Linked DNA regions of Xenopus tropicalis. The protein of the gene in region 2 interacts with the protein of the main gene of each other region in a biochemical or structural test. Links are inferred from orthologs where the notes say so. Each region holds a gene or a part of one and is shown on either strand. Other genes may lie near its edges.

Region 1 (4,029 bases), on a different chromosome or scaffold from region 2:
CAGTGTGTGGGTAACAGTACCTATACACAGTATATACAGTGCCCGTATACCAGTCAGTGTGTGGGTAACAGTACAGATACACACAGTATATACAGTGCCCGTATACCAGTCAGTGTGTGGGTAACAGTACCGATACACACAGTATATACAGTGCCCGTATACCAGTCAGTGTGTGGGTAACAGTACCGATACACACAGTATATACAGTGCCCGTATACCAGTCAGTGTGTGGGTAACAGTACCGATACACACAGTATATACAGTGCCCGTATACCAGTCAGTGTGTGGGTAACAGTACCTATACACAGTATATACAGTGCCCGTATACCAGTCAGTGTGTGGGTAACAGTACCTATACACAGTATATACAGTGCCCGTATACCAGTCAGCGTGTGGGTAACAGTACCTATACACACAGTATATACAGTGCCCGTATACCAGTCAGCGTGTGGGTAACAGTACCTATACACACAGTATATACAGTGCCCGTATACCAGTCAGCGTGTGGGTAACAGTACCTATACACACAGTATATACAGTGCCCGTATACCAGTCAGCGTGTGGGTAACAGTACCTATACACACAGTATATACAGTGCCCGTATACCAGTCAGCGTGTGGGTAACAGTACCTATACACACAGTATATACAGTGCCCGTATACCAGTCAGTGTGTGGGTAACAGTACCTATACACAGTATATACAGTGCCCGTATACCAGTCAGTGTGTGGGTAACAGTACCGATACACAGTATATACAGTGCCCGTATACCAGTCAGTGTGTGGGTAACAGTACCGATACACACAGTATATACAGTGCCCGTATACCAGTCAGTGTGTGGGTAAAAGTACCTATACACAGTATATACAGTGCCCGTATACCAGTCAGTGTGTGGGTAACAGTACCTATACACACAGTATATACAGTGCCCGTATACCAGTCAGTGTGTGGGTAACAGTACCTATACACAGTATATACAGTGCCCGTATACCAGTCAGTGTGTGGGTAACAGTACCGATACACACAGTATATACAGTGCCCGTATACCAGTCAGTGTGTGGGTAACAGTACCGATACACACAGTATATACAGTGCCCGTATACCAGTCAGTGTGTGGGTAACAGTACCGATACACACAGTATATACAGTGCCCGTATACCAGTCAGTGTGTGGGTAACAGTACCGATACACAGTATATACAGTGCCCGTATACCAGTCAGTGTGTGGGTAACAGTACCGATACACAGTATATACAGTGCCCGTATACCAGTCAGTGTGTGGGTAACAGTACCGATACACAGTATATACAGTGCCCGTATACCAGTCAGTGTGTGGGTAACAGTACCTATACACACAGTATATACAGTGCCCGTATACCAGTCAGTGTGTGGGTAACAGTACCTATACACAGTATATACAGTGCCCGTATACCAGTCAGTGTGTGGGTAACAGTACCGATACACAGTATATACAGTGCCCGTATACCAGTCAGTGTGTGGGTAACAGTACCGATACACACAGTATATACAGTGCCCGTATACCAGTCAGTGTGTGGGTAACAGTACCGATACACAGTATATACAGTGCCCGTATACCAGTCAGTGTGTGGGTAACAGTACCTATACACAGTATATACAGTGCCCGTATACCAGTCAGTGTGTGGGTAACAGTACCGATACACAGTATATACAGTGCCCGTATACCAGTCAGTGTGTGGGTAACAGTACCTATACACAGTATATACAGTGCCCGTATACCAGTCAGTGTGTGGGTAACAGTACCGATACACACAGTATATACAGTGCCCGTATACCAGTCAGTGTGTGGGTAACAGTACCGATACACAGTATATACAGTGCCCGTATACCAGTCAGTGTGTGGGTAACAGTACCGATACACACAGTATATACAGTGCCCGTATACCAGTCAGTGTGTGGGTAACAGTACCGATACACAGTATATACAGTGCCCGTATACCAGTCAGTGTGTGGGTAACAGTACCTATACACACAGTATATACAGTGCCCGTATACCAGTCAGTGTGTGGGTAACAGTACCTATACACAGTATATACAGTGCCCGTATACCAGTCAGTGTGTGGGTAACAGTACCGATACACAGTATATACAGTGCCCGTATACCAGTCAGTGTGTGGGTAACAGTACCTATACACAGTATATACAGTGCCCGTATACCAGTCAGTGTGTGGGTAACAGTACCGATACACACAGTATATACAGTGCCCGTATACCAGTCAGTGTGTGGGTAACAGTACCGATACACAGTATATACAGTGCCCGTATACCAGTCAGTGTGTGGGTAACAGTACCGATACACACAGTATATACAGTGCCCGTATACCAGTCAGTGTGTGGGTAACAGTACCGATACACAGTATATACAGTGCCCGTATACCAGTCAGTGTGTGGGTAACAGTACCTATACACACAGTATATACAGTGCCCGTATACCAGTCAGTGTGTGGGTAACAGTACCTATACACACAGTATATACAGTGCCCGTATACCAGTCAGTGTGTGGGTAACAGTACCTATACACACAGTATATACAGTGCCCGTATACCAGTCAGTGTGTGGGTAACATACACAGTATATAGAGGCTACTAGGCAGGCAGACAGTGAGCAGGGTGAATGGCAAGGCGACACATACACACAGAGACATACAGGGAAAGGCGCAGTATATAAGTTCCCCCTCACAGAGTCAAATACTCACCGGGTTCCCGCCCTCTCCCCCATGTTCCAAGCTCCTCCGCTTGCTCTGTGTGTACGCGCTCCAATCCCCCACCGCGGGGACGCGCACGGTTCCACACGCACAGTAGGAAAGGGCGTGGCCGTGCGCTTCTTCCCATTTCCTGCGCGTTTTCATTGGCTGGACGATTTCCGGCCTTGTGACGGTCAGGTAGGACGCGGTCACCAAGTACTGAACACGCCCCCTCTCTGACTTGTGGAAGGAGGGGCCGGCGGCGTGACGTATATGAGTTAGAGGTCGGGCCGTACAACTGATTGGACAACAGGAGGACGGTGGAGGGAGGGCGTGGCAGTGGCTTGTAATAGGGGTTGCTGATTGGCTGCCTTGTAACAGGGGTTGCTGATTGGCTGCCTTGTAACAGGGGTTGCTGATTGGCTGCCTTGTAACATGGGTTGCTGATTGGCTGCCTTCTAATAGGGGGCGCTGATTGGCTGCCTTGTAGGTGTGTAACGCGTAATAGAATTAGCGATCGTCCGAAGGATTAAAACGTATTACTGACAGACGGTAGCTGCTCCGTAACCGGCTCAGATACCTTCCAGATAGATTGCTATTCAAAGGGACGTTTAGAATGAAGTAACAGTAATATTCTGAGATATGTTTTGCGCTTTTTTATAAGAATGAAGCTTTTTTTGTTCAATGCTGTTTTGCATTTTAGCAGCAAGCTGGTTGCTAGGGGCCAATTTACCTATAAGCCAGCGGTTTGAGGGATGTACTGGAATATGGTGATAAAAAAAGTCTGACAATTGTGACCTCACAGAATGGCAGTGTTTTGGTTGCCAGGGTCAGTGACCCCGTCCCTTCCAACAACAAGATTGATTTTTATATTGCAATTTGGCAAAGGGGCAGAAAGAAAGGCAAGTGGTTCAAACAGGCCTGGATTTCAGATTGGGCTCCCAATATCCCCATTGCCCCGTCTCCTGTTACTCCAGGGGCCCCAACTGCCCACTCACCGCCAGCGCCTCCCCCCACTTACCTCATACTTCCCCCGCAATTGGGGGAGGGCAGTGGGGGGCTGGTAGGGGCCCATGAGGGCCAGGGACCACTGAGTTTTTTTTCTGGCCCAGTCCAACCCTAGATCGATATATAGATAGATAGATAGATAGATAGATAGATAGATAGATAGATAGATAGACAGCTAAATAGATAGATACATACATAGCTAGATAGATAGATAGATAGATAGATAGATAGATAGATAGATAGATAGATAGATAGATAGATAGATAGACAGCTAAATAGATAGATACATAGATAGATAGAT
Region 2 (3,500 bases):
CTGTGCCTACTACATTAAACTCTATACCTCGGCAACAGGTTACCATAATCCACATAATCATTGTTCACAACGGTCGCCTATACCTCATCTTCCAATTCTGCTAACCCCCAATTAGGGTACTAGGTCTAAATTATCCAAATATATTATATACGCTACAAGATCCGCTGTGCCTACTACTCAGAAGGTTATTACCTCGGCACAGAGGATCATAGATCTAGGGTGTGAAACGCCGACGCGCGTTTCGCTACTGCTTTTTCAAGGCGGGTTGTAACTTTTGGAAATAATAAAAAACTTCCAAATAATCGCTACAAAGGTTACTTGCAAATTGTTGTTGAAACATTCGATAACTATACTAACAAAGTGATAACATAGTTACCAACCTTGGAAAGGCATTTAAGCCTAATACGGTGGATAGATCTGGGGTGTGTGACTATATATTTTATCTTTCCTTCCTTTTCTTTTTTTCGCTTTACCATTTTTAAAAACTATTTTAGTTGTAAATAAAATTAAAAGTTATATTTTAAAACTTGACAGGTGTGCCAAAAAAACTGTGTTTCTTTTACTTGTTTGACTTATACCTAATATTACACATTGTGCACCCTGGAACATAAATCACTGTAGTGCGAGGTTCCTCTACCAATAGATATACACTGTAACATTACAGGCACTGACAGTGAACCAGCAGCAAGAGAATGCACAAGTCTAGAATACACTTCTAAAGCTAAATGTACCAATTCCTAAACACTCTATAAAGAAACTAACGTCTTGATTTGAAAATAGAACATGTAGAGAGAAAGAAGCACAGCTGACAGGGCAACTTATTGGTTTAAGAAAAGAAATCTGAAAACATATAATCATACCTGAGAATGCAAAGTACTGTGGTCCACATGGGATTCTCCACAACCAACATAGGAACAGCCATTCTGCCAAATGAAACAAAATACTTTAAGTAAACTGCGTTAATATTTATAATAACCTATAGTAATAATTAAACCGATAACAAATATTTTACCTCTAGACAAGCCCAAAGATTTGGTCCTCTGACTCTGCAGTCCTGGCAGCTTCCCTGTAAAGACCATGAAGTAACACTAAATGTTACAGAAGCCGGCGATTCTGAAATTTAACCTTTATAATTATAAGATGGAAGGACAAGCTGTGCTCTAGGCCCAGATTCACAAGAAATTGCAGAGTTGCATATTCCTGCTTCTCTAATTGCAGATAAAAATATTAGTGTTGATAAAAGATTAAATGTGAAGCCACCAACTTTATTGGTTATATACACTTTAAACTTTATTTATAAAGCGCTGTACAATCTTACAAAATACAAAATTACACACAGTGAGGACAAGTGTTATAATAAATTTATATAAATGCACAGGGAGTAAGTGCCATGTGGTATGAGACAAAGTAGGAAGGAAGTCAGTGCTGTCCAACTTCTACGGTGCCGAGGGCCAGAATTTCTCTAGCATACATGGTGGAGGGCCACTAATGGAAGCCAGTTTTGACCACTCCCCTTTTTGAAACCACACCCACTTCAAACCACACCTATTTTATCACAATGGTGGTAGCACAGCAAAATCCCAAATGCTTGGTCCTTACTGTGGGGATATCAACCATCATTCATATGTGAAAGAATTATGTCATATTAAGATATACCCTTAAATTCCATATGCCTCCTCCTCCCCTGTGGATAGCAGAGCAACCCCCAGTACATAATTACACACCTTAGGGACCATTTAATGGCTATTTCCACCTGCTAACAAACTCCCACAACAAACCCCTGCCAGGTTCACCTCCCACAAGCAGCATAGGGTAAGCAGAGTATGGCACACACAGGCAGCACTCTGCCTGTCCTATGCTGTCTGTGTGTGCCATACTCTGCCTGTCCTACCCTGCCTGTGTGTGCCATACTCTGCCTTCTCTATGCTGCCTCTGTGTGCCATACTCTGCCTGCCCTACCCTGCCTGTGTGTGCCATACTCTACCTGCCCTACCCTTCCTGTGTGTGCCATACCCTCCCTGACCTATGCTGCCTGTGTGTGCCATACTCTACCTGCCCTATGCTGGCTGTATGTGCCATACTCTGCCTACAGTACCTATGTCTGAGGTGTGAAGAAGTGAACAATGGGAGTGATTACAGTCTGAGGTGTTAACACTGCAGGGGGTGAACAATGCAGGGATTAAAAGGTGTGAAAAACACAGGGGATTACATTTTTAAACAATACAGAGGGATTACAGCCTGAATCTGAGGTGAGAACCATGCAGGGGGCCAGTTAATCTCAGTACTGATACCATTTAATGCTTACTCAAAGGTAGGCCATCAAAGCAGCCAGACAGGTGGGGGGCCACACAGAGGGGGGCCGCCGGTTGGACAGCACTGTTCTAAGTGGTTGGGTAACAAACAAGCACAAATTGGAAGGTAAAAGTGCACCAGGTATGGACATTTGCCCTTAAGAGCAGGACTAGGTAAAATAGTGTTTTAGTGCTCCAGAAGGTAACAGCTAAGCTTTTTCTTAAAGAGAGTGGGTGAGTGTTCCCTAGGTAGGGATTCAGGGATAGAGTTCCAGAGGTAAAGAGCAGCAAGATAGAAAGGTTTAAGACGAGAGAGTATAGTGGGTGTGGATGGTGTAAAAAGGCGAGGGCTCTGAGAGGAGCGGAGGAGATTACCAGGAATGTGCAGGGAGACCAGTGAAGAAATGTAGTGAGGAGCAGAGGAGTGAAGGGCTTTGAATGTTAGCAGAAGGATTTTGTAAGCTATCCTTTGCTTAACAGGCAACCATGCAAAAGAGTTTAAGTGAGGCTGAACAGGTTTCCTCTTTAGAGTGAGCAGGAGGATCCTGGCAGCAGAGTTTAAGACTGATTAAGATTGCAGGGGACAGAGGTAGGAGTCTGGGAGGCCAGTTAGACCTTGTGCCTTCCCTAGGTTTCAACAGTTGACGCTCACTAAATACTTTCACTGGTCTATAGAGTGCTCTTGTATGTTATTTGTGCATTATTGTTCATGCCCATTTTTTAGAGGTCAGATTGTCCAAGCCAAGATAAGGACCATCCAGCTTGTTTTCACCACACAGTTCCAAAGCCAGCATCCGTGATGGTATGGGGGTGCATTAGTAACGTAACCACAAATCAGAGCCCGCACACAGGAGCCATTCAACATAGGAGCCCTGGTGGTTTATTGTGTAAAGCGGAATACACAATGTTTTGGGTATGTATGTGCCTATGGTTAGGTGGGTGATGAAAAAACTTTTTTTAACCACAATATGCTGTAAGTGTTCGCATCCATCTGCATGATGGCATACTTGGGGGATTTTTAGTGATTACAATGAGAAGTTATCTGGGAAAATTTTATTGCCAAAAAGGATATTCTCTGAAACAGAGTTGGCAGCTAAAATATAAATAAAATAAACCACAACTCGCACACCACAATTTTCACATACGGTGATCAGAAACCATAAGAATTAAAAAAAAAACAAATAAAACTTTGCAAGCTATTGGGTTTAT

Evidence for each region. The genes of interacting proteins can lie anywhere in the genome.
Region 1: of the proteins of usp33 (region 2) and arrb2, one has a biochemical effect on the other in vitro, tested with the Homo sapiens proteins (2 studies listed by BioGRID, with this or other methods). The link is inferred for Xenopus tropicalis from reciprocal best matches to the Homo sapiens genes USP33 and ARRB2.

Annotation. Positions count from the first base shown.
Region 1 is NC_030679.2:142,421,462-142,425,490, forward strand, and holds the start of arrb2 (beta-arrestin-2), read right to left. Parts: upstream 2,801-4,029; 5' UTR 2,756-2,800; coding exon 2,733-2,755; intron 1-2,732. UniProt on the Homo sapiens protein: Functions in regulating agonist-mediated G-protein coupled receptor (GPCR) signaling by mediating both receptor desensitization and resensitization processes.
Region 2 is NC_030680.2:80,329,463-80,332,962, reverse strand, and holds part of usp33 (ubiquitin carboxyl-terminal hydrolase 33), read right to left. Parts: intron 1,067-3,500; coding exon 1,013-1,066; intron 924-1,012; coding exon 861-923; intron 1-860. UniProt on the Homo sapiens protein: Deubiquitinating enzyme involved in various processes such as centrosome duplication, cellular migration and beta-2 adrenergic receptor/ADRB2 recycling.